4 linked regions of the Saccharomyces cerevisiae S288C genome follow. The gene in region 3 interacts genetically with the main gene of each other region. Each region holds a gene or a part of one and is shown on either strand. Other genes may lie near its edges.

Region 1 (3,125 bases), on a different chromosome or scaffold from region 3:
TATTTTTGTCTTCAAGAGATCGTAAAACTGAGATGGAGATTCGATTATATCGATTTCTTTTGCTTGGAAATGAAAGCATGTTTGTAAATTCTGTTGTAGGGACTTAGTGATCGTGTTCAAATAATTGCCAAATGGAGAAGGGTTCGCAGCGGACATCTGCCTTTTTATATTGAAGGGTTTCTGGAGAGGTAGGGATAATAATCTGTAATGAGGACGAGTGAGTTGGAGCAAACGAGTCGTCATTAATATATGTTATCCTGAGTATGCTATTAGCAATTATGGACAAGCTGGGTGTCCTACATTATATCTACTTTCTTGTGTGGGCTGCTTTTTAGGAGTGTTCGGGCGTGAATGTGTCCATGTGCTACTGCTTTTTTATTTATGTTTTCTTCTTCACACATGGGTTACTGGCAGAAAATAAAGAAGAGAGAGGATCAATATATATATATATATGCTAAAAGATTATAATATGAAACTTATTTAAAATCAGGCAGTTAGGAACTCAACATATTTCTATCATTCACTTGTTAGTGCATGAGAAGAAGTAATTGCAATATCACCTAGAATTCCTTCGTAAAATCTTTATATTAACGATGTCCGCATCACTGGCATTTCTTCGAAGCTTAGCTCTATTAGAAAGAGACATCAAAGTTTCATTGGTGACGAATGAGTTTTGGTAAGTGTCAGACCTATCCCAAATATCAGTGGGTTCATCGTCTGTGGTGGTCGTGTTGAATGAATCATTATTATAATGCTGAATTTTTTCGTTAGTAGGCGTTTGGCAAGGGGTGATGTAGCAGTTCACATCATGCGTTATAGTCATATCATCAGCTCCAGGCTCATCATGGAATTTTTTCATGTTAGGCTTTGATATATGCGTGGGATTGGGCTTAGGCATGGGTATTGGCGCAATAGTTTGTCCTCGCATAATGTTGACAATACTAGTGGAAGCACGTTCAAGGACCGTACGTATCGGAGCAAACCACCGTTTCCATTCTAGACTTATGTATACACTGGGTACCCCGCAGATTGAGTGGAACACACCCAATATAAATCCAAAGATGAGTCCTATGATGCTGCCAAAAGCACAAAGCACAGCAAAATATTGAAACAACGTCAAAACCACATAGAAGTCTAATGTGCTTGTTTGTGCAACTAAACGGCTCAGCGACGTCCCCAGGAACAACCTCAATGGGATGTTGATAGGCAATGCCACAAGCTGAAACCCATTCCATACGAAAATTGATAAAGGCAGTTGCACGAGGGCACGGAAGAGAGGTGAAATCACTCCCATGCATAGCTGCACGCTCCAATCCACCACAAACATATTGCGGCTAGTTATATACCTGCTTTCTCCTCCTACAGTTGCTGATGAAGCCCTAAATGGTTTCTTCTTTTAGTCGTTGCTCACCCGGCAGCTCTTTAGTTTTTTTTATTTTTTTTTTTTTCTTTTGAGATTTCTCACTATAAAAAAAGAAGAAATTACTTTAAATTGTTTGTCTATTCCAACATAATCATTAGCAGCACATGTCGAGCAACAGATAAACACAGCAGCGGCACGGTGAACCACATAAGTGTATGTGCACACGCGTGTTTTGTGCAGTGTATTACCAACTTGCGCATGCAAGGATATCACACTCCTGTTTCTGCCTCATGTCTTTTAAAACGCTTCCACGGGACATGGGTTCTAATTATGGAGAAGATCAAGCTTTGAAATGGCCCGTTTACACATTTTGATACAACCGTAGACGGCGTCTCGTTTCAAAGACCGTGTGGTTGTCTATCAGTATATACTCATTGTGTTTTTCAAAAAATCTCTGGGTTGTTTAGATGCCACTATATTTCTATTCGTATTTATTTTTATGTATACTTATTTTGCTTATTTTTCTTATACTCAGGAAACGTCACTTGGCTTGATATACTCGACGCTTTATTCTGCAAATTCAGGTCTCAAATCTGAACGGCGTGGAGCCACCAAGGGATGGAGCTGGCAAAGGAACGTAATGGCCCACATCAAAAACATCATGGCCAATGTCAAAATCACTGTACTTCTCCAAACACTGTACGACAAAACAAAACAAACAAACTCTTGTTAGTAAAAAAGAAAGGGAAACTAGTAATATGGAGACACATCGTAAAAAAAATGTTGCACATACGCTTGGTTGTTCTTTGGAGCCATTATCCAGAACAGCACGGACATGGCACTAACCACTATGAATACACCAACAACAGTATAGCTAAATTGGACGCGCAGAGAGTTAGTAGAAGAAGAAGGAAGAAAAGGGAAGCGGAGAGAAGAGATTATGACACATACAAACTACTCATTACTCTTTGTTCTTTATTATTCGTTGGACCTTTGTTTCTTAAAGTATAGATAAAAGGTCAAAAAATGTAGTAGTCTTTTTTCACAGAGCGAGAATAAAAAGTTACGGCAAAATTTTGTGGGCAGTTGGTATCTTAACGGCCAAGAAAAGAGAGAGAGTGAAGAGCAACGATGTCTGCAAACGGCAAGATCTCTGTTCCCGAGGCGGTGGTCAATTGGCTGTTCAAAGTCATTCAACCCATTTATAACGACGGAAGAACAACTTTCCACGATTCTTTAGCGCTGCTGGACAATTTTCACAGTTTAAGGCCAAGAACAAGGGTATTTACGCACTCTGACGGCACTCCACAACTACTGTTGTCCATATATGGTACCATTAGTACTGGTGAGGATGGTTCATCTCCTCACAGTATTCCTGTGATCATGTGGGTACCCAGTATGTACCCGGTAAAACCTCCCTTTATAAGTATAAACTTGGAAAATTTCGACATGAACACCATCAGTAGTTCCTTGCCCATTCAAGAATACATCGACTCCAATGGGTGGATTGCGCTGCCCATACTCCACTGCTGGGATCCTGCCGCGATGAACCTTATAATGGTCGTACAAGAATTAATGAGTCTCTTACACGAGCCGCCACAAGATCAGGCGCCCAGTCTACCCCCTAAGCCCAATACGCAGCTCCAGCAGGAGCAGAATACTCCCCCACTGCCCCCAAAGCCCAAGTCTCCACACCTAAAACCGCCATTGCCTCCACCTCCACCACCTCAACCGGCATCTAACGCACTCGACCTTATGGACA
Region 2 (4,844 bases), on a different chromosome or scaffold from region 3:
TTTTGCGATTTCATCATCAGTGATTTCGACGTGTTTGCGCATTTGCTCAATTGCTTCATCTGTAACAACAGTTAAGCCCAATTCCTTCTCAGCAATAGCCAAATTTAACCATAGTTTTCTCCATGTGGAAAATCTGTTTCTCAAAGAAAACGTTGCTGACATTTCCTTGGAGGCATATCTAGAAGACAATGGCGTAGTGTAATTGTCATAGTCAGGCATCTTTTATATAATTCGGATAGTTTATTTCACTTTAGTTGTAGCAACTTACTGGAAAAGCTTTGGTCCTTGGGGAAGAAATTTTGAGAGGTTGGTGATGAAGTATAATTGTTTTATATGGCTACTATTAATACAACGATAATATATCTATAGATGACTTTCTTCTATATAATAACTTCTGTTTTATTTCATTTTCCTGCTTTGTTTGAAGTTTGACTCTGCTCGCGGAGGGTAATGCGCAATGGGAAGATATTATGCTGCCATTGCTTTTACAATAAAGGTGATCATGAAGACGACGAAGGAGGCCGCAGCATAGAGAGTCTGTGCGCCGTGAACTTAGCCGAGGGTCTTAATCCAAGGACAAATGGGCCTGGCAAGGACTCTTTCTCATTTTCAACATCCGGTTCTAAGCCATCATCATCTTTGTCCTTTCCAGTCACATCTTCCATGGTTTCTTCAACTTCTTCGTATTCTAGTTTTCTTTTCTTGTTAGTGGTAAACCACCTATTCAGTGGCAGGCTTAGGTGTGGGTCACCTGAATTTATTATTCGTTCATTTACTATCACACTAGGTCCTCTGAACCATAATATTTCACCCTTTGTTTTTTTCCATGGAAACATCTCTTCTCTTCCAGATCTCTTGGTTTGGCTGTGCAGATCAGTACGCTGCAAAACATCTACGTTTTTGGTTATAGAGATAGGTAAGACAAACGAGGAGGCTGCATCGATCATTATATTACCCAAATTACCTCTTGATGCCTGCGATGTTAAATCATCGATTATTGTTGGGATATTATAACGTGATGCTTGGGATCTTTTCTGTTGTTGGTATTGATGTTGCTGCTGTTGTAACCTTTGCAATTGGTGTTGCTTTAAACCTTGTACAGTAAGCGGGCCTCCCGCGCCAGGGGAACCAACTCTTGACAGTGGTATTTGTTGCTGGCCAATAGCATTTTGGTTTTCTAAAGACATAGATGACCTGTTATATCTTAAACTGGATAGTTTACTACTTGAGTATCCTGTTTTAGGAAGAGCATTTGCTGTTGGCGTGTTTGTGGTGATCGTACCTGTTTCTATATCCACTTGTCCCTCTTCGGGAGAATCGTTGGGTCTGATAATATACCTGGGACAGTCATCAGAGGTTGCATATTCCCCCAAATCGTCACGCTGCATTTTAGGTCTCATATAAACGGCACCGACCAATGGTGGCGCGTCCGGGGATCCCATCGTTGGTTCAGGAACGCGATCATGCGGCGTTGCATTAGCTGGTAGTAGATGTCTTATGGGGGAAGGATATTTGAAGAACTTTCTACCATTTACCGGAATGGTAGCTTCGTCCAAATCACGAATTTCCTCTGGTAAGCAAGCCTTCCAGGTTCTAATCTTGTTAAAAATTTTATCGGATTCATTATAACGGAATTCGCAAACGAACAAGGGACCCTCCAATTTCATATCGGGATTACCACGTTGATATCTAGTAAAGTGAATCACATAGCATTTCCCAACTAAGTTTGACACTAAATGATCACGGTACTGACCTGTTTTCATAACTTCGTTTTTGTAAAACAATCTATCCACTCTATGCACAGTTTGTTCGGGTCTGTAATACCAACAAGCGTTTAACCATTGTTTCCCATCTGGTGTCTTCCATAGCCTGAATATTTGGCCCACTATAGGTTTTTGAGGATCATTTTGATTTCGAAGAAGTGCCCAATCTCCCACGTGGTATGATATATTATTTACAATGACTTCATCTAGAGGGTATCTTAGCTCGCCTTCTGGAATGAAACTTCTATCAGGTTTGGATAGTTCGAATCTTGCCAGACTAGTAAAGGTCTTTTCTAAGATATTTGAAATTTTTATGCTTTCAGGATCACCTCTGTGCGAAATTCTAAAGTTGGTTAACATAAGATTAAAATCATTCTGGAACTCCTGGAACGTTTTATAACGACGAGTCTTTACCTTTTTATTTATGTCTTGAAGACTAATTGGATTAGCAATCATGATGTAGTAATTTGCATCTCTGTGTCTATCGGGCAATCTTTCAAAAAGATCAGTTAGACCAATTCCACTATCTAGCACCTCTTTTTTTAGTACTTTCATAACATTTTTCATTCTTTGAATATACGGTAAGTCGATGATTGGGGGTCTCCCACGCTTTACCTGAGTTCTGGATACCTGTCTATGCCTTGGGCCTAACGGCTGAGGGGTGCCTGAGTGAGATGGAGTAGTGGACCTGTTGTCTCTTAATGGTTTCCGAGTATATGGATTAATATTTATTAGTGGCTTTCTTATCAAATCAGGAAAATCAGCATCCTTAGGGTTATCGATATCCATATCCGTCGCCTCATAGTCCTCATCATTATTTGTATCGGTTCCTGGTTCTGATTCTCTTTTGACGGAAGTACGAGTCTTTCTTAATCTTCTGGCTGCTTCTGTTGAATTCATTGAAGAGCTCGACTCGGCTCTGGCTGCATTAGCTCTCGCTACTTCCTCAGCTTTTTCTCTTAATTTCTGTTGAAACTCTTCATAACCTGGTTCATCGGGTAGAGGACCCAAATCAGGATACACTAATTGAGGATATTTTTCTTTTAAATTTGGATAGATTGTGTCCTTTAAATATTTCTCAAGGACTAAGGCGTATTTATAAATTCCTGAATCTCTTGTATTGTAAGTCTTGGCATTCCATGGAATCTGGACAACATCGTTCATAAACTGTTGAGCATCTGTATAATGTGGAATACGCTTTTTTAAAGTATTGAAAGATACAGGGTTCTTGATCACTGCGTAGTAGTCAGGATAATCCTTTTTAGGTGGAAGGACATTGAATATTGGTGAAATCTCTAACCCAGAATCTTCCTTTAAAGTGAAAAGAGATTCATATTCTTTCCTCAGGTCCTTGTATAATGCGCTTGAGTTTTGAGTGGACGAGTTTGAATTGTCATCAGGCATCATGCACTGTCAATGTAGAATATTCTCCGCTTCGTCTGGTTCTGCGCGACGTGCTGTATATTTGATCACGTATTGAACTGTTACCAATACTTTTTTCAGCTGTGTTGTTTTCTCTATTTTCTCACTTTAACATGCGAATTTTCGCACGACTCTCGGCCGGGTGAGAAAAGTCAGTGACAGTAATAAACCAAGTGCAAGAGCACCTACAAATGTGCTTATTACAGTGTATTATTATGTATATATGTGCATACGTGTGTGTATGCACAATTTTTGAACATACTGTCTTTTGAACGTTTGAAAACTCGTAGGAATATATAAAAAAACTGCAAATTACTACACACTTTATTTTTGGAGAGAGAGAGGAGCCGAGTTCAGGCAGCTACAAATTCTTGTAGAGATAAATACGTGAACGAGAAACACTAGATAAATTGTCCTTCCCCATAAACGCCAATAACGGCTTGTACAAAGCCAACAATAGCAATAGCAGTTGCTGCAATTAGATTTTTAGTATGGATTGGGGGACCGGTGTGCAATGCCTCTGCCGGCTTTGATACTGTGGTTGCTGCAGGCTTCCCGTCTCGAGGTGTATTTTCTGAAGCATGGTTGTCTTCACCTAAATCAATAATAGAATCGCTCAGTTCGGAAGCAGCGAGTTTGCTGTCTTCGGGAAATAAAGAAGATTCCTTAGAGACTTTACTGTACTTTCTAGACTGATAGTTGGAGGCACATCCTAGAACAAATGAAGATAATGGAGCTACAAGCATACCATAGAGTAAGTAGGGGTGTCTCAATGAGGGAGGAGCGCCGAAAAAGCTCACACAAAAGAAAGTTGACGCAAACGCTCCCAAGGCGGTGGCCGCATTTTTCAAAGTGGTTAAAGTGGGAGTAAGGGATCCTGTTAAAACCTCTAGTGGAGTAGTAGATGTAATCAATGAAGCGGAAGCCAAAAGACCAGAGTAGAGGCCTATAGAAGAAACTGCGATACCTTTTGTGATGGCTAAACAAACAGACATCTTTTTATATGTTTTTACTTCTGTATATCGTGAAGTAGTAAGTGATAAGCGAATTTGGCTAAGAACGTTGTAAGTGAACAAGGGACCTCTTTTGCCTTTCAAAAAAGGATTAAATGGAGTTAATCATTGAGATTTAGTTTTCGTTAGATTCTGTATCCCTAAATAACTCCCTTACCCGACGGGAAGGCACAAAAGACTTGAATAATAGCAAACGGCCAGTAGCCAAGACCAAATAATACTAGAGTTAACTGATGGTCTTAAACAGGCATTACGTGGTGAACTCCAAGACCAATATACAAAATATCGATAAGTTATTCTTGCCCACCAATTTAAGGAGCCTACATCAGGACAGTAGTACCATTCCTCAGAGAAGAGGTATACATAACAAGAAAATCGCGTGAACACCTTATATAACTTAGCCCGTTATTGAGCTAAAAAACCTTGCAAAATTTCCTATGAATAAGAATACTTCAGACGTGATAAAAATTTACTTTCTAACTCTTCTCACGCTGCCCCTATCTGTTCTTCCGCTCTACCGTGAGAAATAAAGCATCGAGTACGGCAGTTCGCTGTCACTGAACTAAAACAATAAGGCTAGTTCGAATGATGAACTTGCTTGCTGTCAAACTTCTGAGTTGCCGCTGATGTGACACTGTGACAATAA
Region 3 (3,749 bases):
AAACACCAGAAATGAACGTGACGAATAATGTTGAAGAGGGTGAATTTATAATTGACTTGTATAGTTTACCTGAGGGATTATTGAAAAGTCTATGGGACTACGTTAAGAAAAATACCGAGTAATAAAAGGTAAAAGGGCGTTAAATGCGCGCTTTTATGTTTGTATAAATAAAACACGTTGATATTTTGTCTTATATAAACTTTATTCCAATAACCGCGACACCTTACCAAACACATATTATTACAACACATTTTTATCTTGGATTTTAAGTAATTATACAACAGTTTTCATTTTAGAAAATGAGAACATCAAATATATACATTCCAATGTAATAGAAAATGGAAAAGAAAAAAGAATAAAAAGAAAAACACGAGGGGACCAGGTTGCTAGAAGATAGGGTGACCACGTCAAAAGAATATACCTAGGGAACCAAACAATGCGAAGTTAACAACCCATCAAAGTATTTTTAATAGTGAGTGGTTCAATAGAAAATTAGAAGTCTGTTCATTTAAGCGCGCTACATCCCATCTTCTAAATGAGGATCAAAACCTGTATTGTCCGATGTACTATTGCCAAAAAGTCCGTTAGATGGCATATTATCACTATTTTGCCCATGTGAATCCTCTTGATGAGTTTGAGTGTCTTCAGTAGCAGATGCAGCTGATGAAGGATGCTGAGATAAATTTTGTTCCATAATAGTTGACGAATTTGGAGATTGAGAGAATTTTTTCTTTGCCTTGTAGATTTTCTCCAAGTTACCGGTCACTTTTATCAAATAGTCAGGCAATGGTTTGCCACTCTTCAAGTATTGTAATTTCCAATTACGGGCTTTATCTTTCAGTTGTACCTGCGTCCTGTTCTTCAAATTTTCCGTGATTTTACCACCGGGACCATATAAATCTAGAATCTTAGACCACGATGGGCCAACCTCTTTCAGGCCTTCCACTAATGCTTCTTCTTCCTCTTTGGACCAAGTTCTTTTCGCCTTTGGTTTTCTTAATCCGATACTACCATTATTGTTGCTGTTACTGCTGTTGTTATGAGAGGAATGAGGACCAGAGCTGCTGTTGCTCATCGAGGCCGCAACAGCGGCATCCACAATGGATTGTGTGATAGCGGGGTTTTTGGAAGACACATCTGTGGTAGGTGTATGTGTGCTGTAATGATTCGGACGAGCAGTTGACAAAAAAGCAGACGCACTGCTTGGCTGATTTTGGTCGTCCATGAATTCTACGGTCCTGGTCCCTGTAGAAAAGAGTACTTGAGGATCAAACTCGTTGACATCAAAGTCATATAATGGTGATTTTCCGCGACCCTTTCTGCCCCATATGATGAGACCCATATTTTTATTACAATAATCCAGCAACTCTCTGATAAATTGAGCCCATTCGTAGCTCTGGGTCAGAGAGTTAAAATCTTGGACGATCTTTAAATTTTCTCTCCGACGATCGCACCTTTCGACGAAGTCCTTCTCCGATGGAGTCAAAAGTGTAATGTCTCCAGAATCGCCGGTTCTTCTCTGCACGAGAATATCAGCCAGATTGGATGGGAAGATTAAGTCTAGTAGCTCTTGTTTCTTTTCTAAAGAAATTTCGTTCGTCTCGTCCTGAAACTCTTTCAAGCCGGCAATGTAAGCCTGTGTTTTCAGATCAAGATATAGGATAGCCTGCGATTTCAAAAACTTTCCGCTTTGTTCCAGGGAGTTGTTACCGACAGTGTTTGTATTTGGACAGAAAATATCGAGAAATATCGACTGTAGCAGCTCAAACCCGTAATTAAGGCAGTTCAGCGACGTCAATAGAAATGTTAGCAGATTCGCCTTTCTTATGGCAGTAATAATAAACGCTTCGTGGCCTCTCAATATAAGGGGGGGAGGGGAGTTGGGAAACCATAAACCAGGCGCCACGTCGTGAACAGACAGTAACGGAGATCTGGTGTGGTAAATCATTCTGATCTGCTTAAAGAGCTTGACTAACGTTTGAAAAATTTCTGTTTCGCCTGAGCTTAGGAAAGCCGTCTGGTCCGTCAAAACCGCTATAATATTGGGAGAGTTGGCATTAAGGATAAGAAACCTCAGTAGTTGAGTGGAGATATTGTCCAGCAGACATAATGAGCATATGGTCAACCTAGTTCTTGCAGGCAGGCTTTGGATGATGTCATTGAAGCGGTTTAAGCTTTCGTTATTATTGGGCACTTGCGAATCCATGACAAATGGGGAAAGAAGTGAGTAAAGAAAAACTAATGTAAAATGATTTCTGTCGCAGATGGGACAGCCACAATCTTAAATGTTGGCAAGGATATAGGAGCAAAACGCCAATATTGAGATGATTGTTTATTATAATGTTTACAAGGAAGGGCAAAGCATTGAGGAAAATTAGTCGGAATGAGGTCTCGCCGGGCTTCTACGGAAAGGGGCGAAAATTAATAGGGCACGGTGCAGAATATTAGGGCTTCAAATGTTCAGATTTTAAAGCCTTTTCTTCAAATACAATAATTAATTTTACACACTGTACCTTGCATATATAAGAGAAGAGAAATTTATAAACAGTATAGTTAGTTAGTTAAGAATGGAATTTGAATAAAATCATAAAGGAGATATTTACCGAATAAGTAACAAATAGAGAAGGGAGAGATTAAAAAATGAAAATTTACAGTACCGCCAACAAACACTTGAATAAGATTGAAAATTAGAGAGAAAAAAATTTAGAAATAATACAAAATACTAATAGTGATGGGACACAAAAATGAAGAAAGAAAATAGGTTTGATAGTATTGCTATCACCATTGACATTCTCGTTTGGATATTCACTTTTTACGTGGAGAGTTTGACCTTCTTCTTGTTTAGTTTAATAATGCCGGAGGGGCCCTTTGGTTGCACTAACTCGCCGTTTTCAACACATTTCTTGATAGCGCTATTGAACAGATAGTCAAAATTTGAGCTTGTTTTCAACTTGGAGGAGAAAGTGTCCTTGACATACTTCTTTAAAACGATACGGCTGGAGCCCTTACCGTCATTAAGTTGAGGCATGCTTTTAAGGATCATTTCCTTGTAGGTCAATGAAGAAGGCGAAGAGGCCTTCTTGGCGGTAACAGTAGGCGATTTTTTTTTCACTACTTTCTTTGGCGCTAGCTTCGTGGATGCGGCTTTCGCTTTTGATGCGGTTGCACTCACAGAAGTGGCGGCTTGCTTGGGTTTTGGACTGACCTCTTTTTCTTTCTTTACTTCTGGAGATTTCTTCTTGGCCAGTTTCACAGCACCAGCGGGTCCCTTTGGCTGTTCAAAATCGCCGGCCTCCACACCCTTCTTTATGGCATTGTTGAAGTACAAATCAAAGTTGCTTGCGGATCCGACGATCGGGTAGTTTTCCTTGATAAACTTCTTGAGTGCCGGACGACTGGATCCCTTACGTTCCTTCAAAGCCGTGAGCCCTTCAATGATCAACTCCCTGTAACTCTTGGAGGAAGCTTCCTCCTTTTTTGCCGTGGTTTTCTTGATAGCGGCCTTGGAAGTTGATTTCTCCTTGCCTTTGCTGGTTGCAGGCTTCTTGCCCTTACTTGTGGTCTTGGTAGTGGATTTCTTGGGTGCCATGTTGCTTTAGTTGTATTATAATTGCTTCCCTCGCTGCCAAGCATTATCAGGTGCCCATAAATAACAACTCCCCAAATCTATAGTTGCTCCTCCTCTTTAAATAAAGGCAGATAAACAAAAAACTTTGACCGCCCGCTTTTCCACACAAAAAACAAACAAC
Region 4 (7,776 bases), on a different chromosome or scaffold from region 3:
TTGATGAATTTCTCTTTTCTGGGTATGAAACTATAGCCGCAATTTGATAAGATAAGCCGTTCATTGTACTTGTAATATATACGAATTTTTCATTTGCTTCCAATTTGATATAGGAGGGGGGAGCACTTTGTATTTGCACAGTGACATGTTTTTTTTCCATTTCGACTTGGTTATTTGACAAATATTCCCTTTTCTGATCTTTTTAGTACTTTCATCACTCCTGTAGATCTGCATCGGCTTTTCGCTATTTTTCCTTGGCTTATTATAATGCGTAAGCGTTTCTCGACAGAGATATTGCGACGCTGAGAAAAAAAAAGGAAGTTCTATGCAAGGGACATTAATGATATATTAGACAATTGTCTACGTGAGCTCACATATTGTTTGCACAAACTATACTTTAATTAGAAGGCGTGAAGTAATGTTAGATGTTATAGAAAATATAACATTTAGTGTCAGTAAAATGTATATATGCATATATAATTACAAAAAAGTAGTGCTGCCCACATAATCAAACAGATCGTTCAAGCGATTTGTTTATGCACATATTTTAACTCTATCATGCCACTTGCCCTTCTTCCTCGTCTTCTTCATCATCTTCTTCATCATCCTCTTCATCCGAACTAATTTCAACGCCCAAATCCTTCAGCTTTGAGCGATATTTGGCGTTTTTCTCATCTAGGTCAGTAACCAAGAGCATCAAGTCATCAATTTCCGAACGATCTTCGTTAGCTTCCTTCAACTTAGAGTTCTCTGCCTTCAAGTTATCCAGTTCTTTAGCCAACTTTTCAATTTCTTGTCTCTGAGAATCGGTTGTCTTTTTAACAGTATCTTCATCCCTTTTCCATGCTTGCTCTTTATTCACCAAATCGTTGTATTTAGTTTCAAGCAACATGGCTTTTTCATCAAGTTGAGACTTTTCGACTTGAAACTTCCTGACTTCGGCCCTACGTTCTTCCTCGGATTTTTGTGCCTTCTGTTGGGTGCTATCTAATTCCTGTTCTAATTCCTTGAGGCGCGAAGTTAGTAATTCTTTTTCTTCTTGATTACTTTTTATTTCGGCTTGCTTGTCTTTGAGTTCACGTTCTATATCTTCTAATTTAGATTTCAAAACTGTATTTTCTTCTGCGTTGATCCTTATTTTTTCTTGTGCGTTATTTAGCTCTTGTTTTACGGTTTCTAGTTCAGAGCCAGATTTTGCTTCGATCCTCAGTTTACTTTTCAGTTCTTCAATATCCTTTTCAGATTCGTTGATTCGGGATATCAAATCTGACTTCTCATGTTGCAAGTTTTTAATATCCTCCTCAGCACTTTTTTTCGACTGTTCTAATTTTTCATCTGATTTCCTTATGGTTTCCATTGAGGATTTCAACTCCGTTTCATTGCTCTCAATCGTACTCTCTAGCTTTTTCATCATTTCTTTAGACTTTTCAAGCTCTGCTTTCTCTTTTGAAGATTCTTCCTCAAGTTTTTTCAGCCCTTCTTCAACTTTAGCTTTGGATTCTTGTGCAGCCCGGAGTTGTTCTTTCAAGCTCTCCAGGTCTCGTTTATTATCTCGCTCTATTGATAGAAGCTTTTCGTCATTTCTAGTTATTTTGTCTTTATATGAAAGAATTTCATCTTGTAAGCTTTTTATTGTGTTTTGTTTCTCTTCTAAAAGCTCATCATTGCTTAAACTAACCTTCTCTAGTTCACTCCTCGTATTATCGATCTCTTTGGCTTTTAATTCGTTTTCATTTTGTAGCCTAATTAATTCATCTTCCAAAGTATTGATCTTTTCAGAATATTCTTGTGTAATTGTTGAAGATCCTTCATTAAGTAGCTTTCTTTCCTTTTCGAAGGCCTGATTTTTGATTTGTATTTCATTTTTCAATTTTTCCAATTGCTCCTCTGCATTTTTTCTTTCCTCAGAAGATGTCTTCTTCAATCTAGACAACTCAGATTCTGATTTCTCCTTGGCCTTAGATAAATTAGTGATCTTTTCCAATTGAATTTTTAGTTCAGTCGTTTTAGCATCTAGTTCTTCTTTTATCTTCTCCGATTCCTTCTGTAGCTCCAAATATTTAGAGTTCTTATCTTCTGAGGCCTTGAGTTTGTCTTCCAATTCACTAACTTCCTTTTCTTTAAAGTTACATTCGTCTTGTAATTCTTTAATTTTTACCGTTTCTGATTCTACACTTTTGATTGACTCCAATAAACTGGCTTCGTTCGTTTCGTTCTTCTTTTTCAGCTCTTTAATTTGCAAATTTAAGGCATCAATCTCTGACTTTTTCAAATTTGATTGTTCCTCTGAAGTGCTCTTCATTGCTTTAACTTCGCCCTCCAGTTCGTCATTTTTTTTCTTAATTGATTCATTTTCTTGTTGAGTGGAAGTAATCTCATCATTTAATTGAGATATTTCCTCGTTATATTGCCTTTCCTTGTTGGCAATTTGCTCCTCGTACTTCTTCAACTGAGCTGCTAAATCTTCATGCTCTTTTTCTAATGATTCTAAATTGGCACGTAGGCTGTTGAGTTGCTGTTTGGTTTCAGTGGCCTCCTTCTCGAGTTGAATTTTCTCTTCTTTTAAATGCTCCTCGTTTTCTTTAACTTCTTTCAAAGCTTTCTCTGAAGTTTCTAGTTTTGTTTCAAGTTCATTTTTGAGATTTTTATAAGCTGCTAACTCGGCTTCCAGCTCTTCCCTAGTTTTAGTCAATTCTGAGATTTTATTCACGTTTTCATCGTTTGCTGTTGTCGCCGTTTCTAATTTTTCTTTCAAGAGACTAATCTGGGACTCATATTCATCTTTTGAAGAATCGGATTTTGAGATAATTTCCTCCTTCGTTTGTTCTAAGTCAGAGATGGTTTTTTTTAGTTGTTCGATATTTTTTTCTATACTGCCTCTTTCTATTTGAAAATTTTCTTTTTCCTGTGACATAGAATCAATTTTATTTTGCAAATTAGACAATTGTATGCTGCTTTCGTTTTTTGACTCTTCTACAGCTTTTATTAGAGACTCATTTTCAGCTTGCATATCCTTATAGTTATTTGCTAAGGATTTCAATTTTTCTGTTAGTTTCGCTACTAGATTGTCATGACTCTGAAAGCGGGATTTGTACTCAACAAGTTCCTTCGAAATATGTTCCTTTTCTTTTGATAAATTATTACATTGAATTTTCATTTCTTCCAGATTTTCATTGATAGCTTTTATTTCAGTAATTTTTGCCGCAATATCTTCTTTTAGTGATTTAGTCTCTTTCTGATGGTTGACATTGCTTTTATCTTTTTCCTTCTGTAAATTTTTACAATTCTCCTCAACTGCTTGCATCTCTCTACTCAGAGCGAATAAATCTTTACCCATTTTGTTTATACCATCTTCTGCCTTTTTCTTTTGAGACAAAATAGTTTCAAGTCCTTTTTCTAAAGTTTTGATAGAGTCTTCTTGTTTGTGGATTGTGCTTTTGTACTCCAGTAAAGCAGTTTGATTTTCTTTGTCCTTAGTTTCCAGTACATCTCTCAGTTGCGTCATTTCATCCAAGGAATCTCTGACGTTCTTCAATTCAGTTTCCAAAATGGAAAAGTTTTCTTTCAACGAAGAATGTGAGGAATTCAAAATTTGGTATTTCTCATCCAACTCTTTGTGTTCATTAGTCAACGCAATCAATTTTTCGGTGAGGTTCTCATGGGTGCTTTCCGTTTCTGTTTGCAAAGAAGTTATCTCACCCTTCAATTTTGTACATTGCCTCTGTAATTTTTCGACTTCTTCGAAAGATATTTTATTGATTGGCTCTTCGTCAGGGTCGTGAGACAATGCAGTTCTGATCCTGTATATGTTTTCATTAAATAACTGTATGAAGTAAGTGCTGAAATAAACTTTTGGTAAACCAGTTTCATCAAGCTCCGGAGTTAGTATACTGTCTTCATTCATATCAACTTTTGAGAAATATGAATCTTTTTTAAATTGTTTGATTCGAGAAGCATAATTGTCTTTTCCCAAAGTTTTAGTGATGAATTCGAAGTATTCCTTTCTTGGGAATGGAGATTCTTTCGAGGAAAACTCGTATGCCACACCTAGTAACATTGTTACAAGGCATTTGATAGTAACGTCTTCATCTTGAATTTGGTAAGAGAAGGAAAGCAAGGATTTAATCACGGATTTATCCGAAAGAAAATCGTTCGTGGCCTTAAAGTCGCCAAAGAGCCAATATATTAGGAACGTTAAGTAGGAAATAGGAATTCTTATGTCAGCAGCAGTAAGGGAAGTAGTTAGCAATTCACTTATTGTTTGAATTGCCTTTAAGGGTTCTTCGTCTTCGAGATCGTTACCGGTGGTAACATTTCTTGTTATTTCACGTAGTTCTTCGCTATATTTGTGATCCTGTTGGAAAAAAAACATAAAAATATCAGTTGTGAAGAATAATTTAAAAGGGTTCAGATTCAATTCTGCGTCATAATTTAACAGGACTTCGAATAGATTTGCCTTGAAAGAACCTTCATATTCAGTGCCATCCTTCCCGTCGGTATCTTTATCTGAATCACTTTCTTTATCAGATTTGTTAGAACCACCATTTTCTTTAGCATTGTCGCCGACATTATTTGTTGAATTATTACACAATTGGACTTGTTTTAGTAAAAAATCTCTTTGAAGATCAAAATTATCCATGAAATAAGCCTTTAATAGTCTAGAACACGCAACTCTTGTATCAAACGTGTGAACGGAGTTGGCATAGAGCATCCAATTTATCAAGATGCTGACTACAGGAATTAATTTAATTGGACCACCGTTTGCAGTAGAGTTTACAGGTAATGAAGGATCGAAATATGGAACATCGATCTTACTAAACTCTAGCTGTGCATGTTCATTACTTCTAACCATGTTTGCGGCAGTCAAAAGAGCAACCGGTCTAACTTTTTTTGGGATATTATGAAAGAATGCAAGTCGCAACACAACCATTAATACGCTTGAGTCAAGCAACGCATTTTGATGCTTAGTGGTGACAGTATTTCCTGGCTCTACTGTTAGGCTGACGATATCTAAAGCTGTATTGATATTAACTATCCTTTGATCATTCCAAAAAAAAACTTCATCTTGAGATATTGGTTCACTCAAAAGGTGTGCCAGTTTTGGCAAGTTTCCTGTCTCAAGGAATAAAGTTTGATTAGAAGTGTTATACTTCAGGATGTTATTGATCAACGATAAACAATCATTGACGACGAGAGAGCCTCTTAACCCACCTTCTTCTTCGATGATGGAAAAGAGCCTTTCAAAAATGTTTTCAAAAGCAACCAATTTTTGAACGTGAGGTGAATCGTTCACTACTGCCATTAATAATAAAATAGCTTCATCCCTGATGGGCTCATGCATGTCATCTAGGAGTGAGACCATTGTGGATATGCTCGTTGGAAGTGAAATCAAAGCACTTCTCGCCTTCAACGGCCTCGTGGCCATCACTGCCTCTAGTAATTGAATTGTGTACAATCTAATATGGAAATTATCGATTTCCCAAAATTCAACAAGTAGGTGAATTAAATCTTCAGACTGCGTCAAAGCATCAGCAATCCATAACGAGAACTGATCTACTTGTTCCTTTTCTTGCTTCATCACCAATGGTGAGGGATACTTGCCATTCTGCAACCGCGATTGTTGAGAAATCCAACCTCTAGTTAAGTCGTCATGGCCATCGCCTCTGATGAAAAGAATCAAAATTGTTTCTAATATAGCCTTTACCGAATCTTCATCCATATAATCACGTTTCAAAGTATTGAGCAACGGTTTTAGCCCGGATGCAATCACTGATTCTCTATACTGCCGGCTAAATGCCTTTAATCCCAGCACAGCGGATCTCCTATCGCTAATCAAAGTGGAGTTCTCAACTCGATCGCACAACGTCGGAATGGTTTCATCCACAGATTGAATTTTTGGTTGCTGTATCAGTCCTTGAATGATGTCCATTCTTGATAGGAGGGTTGTTATAGATATTAATCACTCGAAGTCGTGAACAAGAATTGTCTTCTCTCCAGTATTCAGTCTCTGTGATGTCTAAACCCTGTTAATGTGCAAGGTCTATTTTTTTCGTAAGAACCACGCGCTTTAGGCTTTATTTCTGGTAATAATAGCAAGAAATAAGAACAGACAGTTGCAAATCTAAACGACTGTCCAAACGAAAGTATCAAGTTCGCTAAATTTACTTCGAAGACAGAAGCCAGTAAATTTTGTTTTCTTCATGGAAATAGTTTCCAAAAAGTTCTTAGTAATTACCATATGTTCTTGTATGTGGCGCTGCGAAAGAAAGGTTAGCCGACCGGCATCACCCATAATTGTATAATATAGCAATGAAGCAACTTGTTGAAGTTTTCTTTAAAGTACTATAGTATTGAATAATATCATGTTCACTTGATAAAATTGGGTATTTTATTGACCATTATATCGCGTTGGACACTAATGTCTTTCAAGTTGGTGTCACGTCACGTGCTTTTCAATGTACTGGGGCAAATTGATTAGAGGAAGCCACAGTTTGGCAAGGGCAGATATGATAGGAAGCAGTAACGGCAAGGAAGGATAAGAACATCATTGAGGGAGTCTGTGGCAGTTTAGCACATGCTTTGGACCATTAAAGGGTTACGTAGAGGAGAAGAGCATATTTCAGGATAAACAGACAAAATAATGACGATACAAGCGAAGCCCAGTTCGAGCATATCGTATGATTCGACTACATACGGCACAGCACCGGGCTTGGATATAAAAGAGTTCCAAATCATCGAAGATTGGAATGGAAGACCTGCCAGCGCTTGGTCGGTGCAGAGGATTGGGCTTCTACAGTCCAAGATCGAAAGGTACACGTACAATATTTACCACAATAATAAATATGGGAAGCACAACTTATCTAAGCTGATACCAGGGCATGCTCTCATTCAGTTCGCTAATGAAACATTCGGGTATGATGGTTGGCGAATGGATGTTATAGATGTTGAGGCCCGGGAGTGCCAGCCCTTCACCGCAGTAAATAATGGAGAAAACACCAACACTAGTGAGGTCAAGTATACAGTTGTGGCAGAAGCCCAAGTAAAGGTTACCTTAAAGGATGGCACCAACACACAGTGTGGTGGGCTAGGTAGAATTACTTTGTCCTCGAGAGGTGAATGTTATAACAGGTCGAAAAAAGAGGCTGTAGGCGATGCGTTAAAGAAGGCGTTATTGAGCTTTGAAAAAATCATACTCGATTATGAGACTAAGATTACAAATAATTACTATGTCGATGGCTTGTATGGCTCAAAAAAAATTAAAAATGAAGCTAACACCAATTACAACTTATTGTCAGCGACTAATAGCAAGCCGACTTTTATCAAATTGGAGGATGCTAAAGGCACGCATATCAAATAAAAAAAAAAAGAAAGAAAAAGGGCACAAGTAGCAAATTTATTTTGCTTGATAAAAAGTCATAATTTTCACATAATGCATTAATACCTCTACAAAATAAGTGGCATTTGTATTTGATGCGAACGGAACAGGTATCGACTTACCTTTATCAACAGTATCGTTGATACTATTTTATTAGCATTATATTATACAAATAGATCTCACGTACTTATATATATATATATATATATATATACGTGTATATTTTTATCACTTTACATACCATTCCAAGGTAACGAAGGCATGGGCCACATACGTTTGTACAAGGACATAGCAACAACATCCTGCGCAGATAATTTACCATCAAATGTAGCCTTGAAATAACCATGCGTACCCAAACTTTCTTTAATGAAACCTGACCTACCTGATTTGGTGAACAGTGG

The links.
Region 1: mutations in TBF1 (region 3) and LDB16 together harm fitness more than expected from each alone (negative genetic interaction), as found in Saccharomyces cerevisiae (2 studies listed by BioGRID).
Region 2: mutations in TBF1 (region 3) and RSC2 impair growth when combined (synthetic growth defect), as found in Saccharomyces cerevisiae (one study listed by BioGRID).
Region 4: mutations in TBF1 (region 3) and USO1 together harm fitness more than expected from each alone (negative genetic interaction), as found in Saccharomyces cerevisiae (2 studies listed by BioGRID).

Annotation. Positions count from the first base shown.
Region 1 is NC_001135.5:106,223-109,347, reverse strand, and holds LDB16 (Ldb16p), read right to left. Parts: upstream 1,328-3,125; coding exon 557-1,327; downstream 1-556. Other genes in the region: PGS1 (CDP-diacylglycerol--glycerol-3-phosphate 3-phosphatidyltransferase), read right to left, coding at 1-243; VMA9 (H(+)-transporting V0 sector ATPase subunit e), read right to left, coding at 1,931-2,060, 2,157-2,237, 2,315-2,325; ubiquitin-binding ESCRT-I subunit protein STP22, read left to right, coding at 2,495-3,125.
Region 2 is NC_001144.5:839,657-844,500, reverse strand, and holds RSC2 (Rsc2p), read right to left. Parts: upstream 3,171-4,844; coding exon 501-3,170; downstream 1-500. Other genes in the region: adenylosuccinase ADE13, read right to left, coding at 1-219; YLR358C (uncharacterized protein), read left to right, coding at 451-1,014; ATG33 (Atg33p), read right to left, coding at 3,587-4,180. UniProt on the Saccharomyces cerevisiae protein: Component of the chromatin structure remodeling complex (RSC), which is involved in transcription regulation and nucleosome positioning. RSC is responsible for the transfer of a histone octamer from a nucleosome core particle to naked DNA.
Region 3 is NC_001148.4:306,016-309,764, forward strand, and holds TBF1 (Tbf1p), read right to left. Parts: upstream 2,207-3,749; coding exon 518-2,206; downstream 1-517. Other genes in the region: TATA-binding protein-associated factor TAF14, read left to right, coding at 1-122; HHO1 (histone H1), read right to left, coding at 2,813-3,589. UniProt on the Saccharomyces cerevisiae protein: Binds the telomeric double-stranded TTAGGG repeat and negatively regulates telomere length. Involved in the regulation of gene expression. 52 binding sites have been identified, distributed over 15 chromosomes.
Region 4 is NC_001136.10:343,818-351,593, reverse strand, and holds USO1 (Uso1p), read right to left. Parts: upstream 5,930-7,776; coding exon 557-5,929; downstream 1-556. Other genes in the region: YDL057W (uncharacterized protein), read right to left, coding at 1-160; RAD59 (Rad59p), read left to right, coding at 6,641-7,357; small subunit rRNA maturation protein TSR1, read right to left, coding at 7,609-7,776. UniProt on the Saccharomyces cerevisiae protein: Required for protein transport from the ER to the Golgi complex.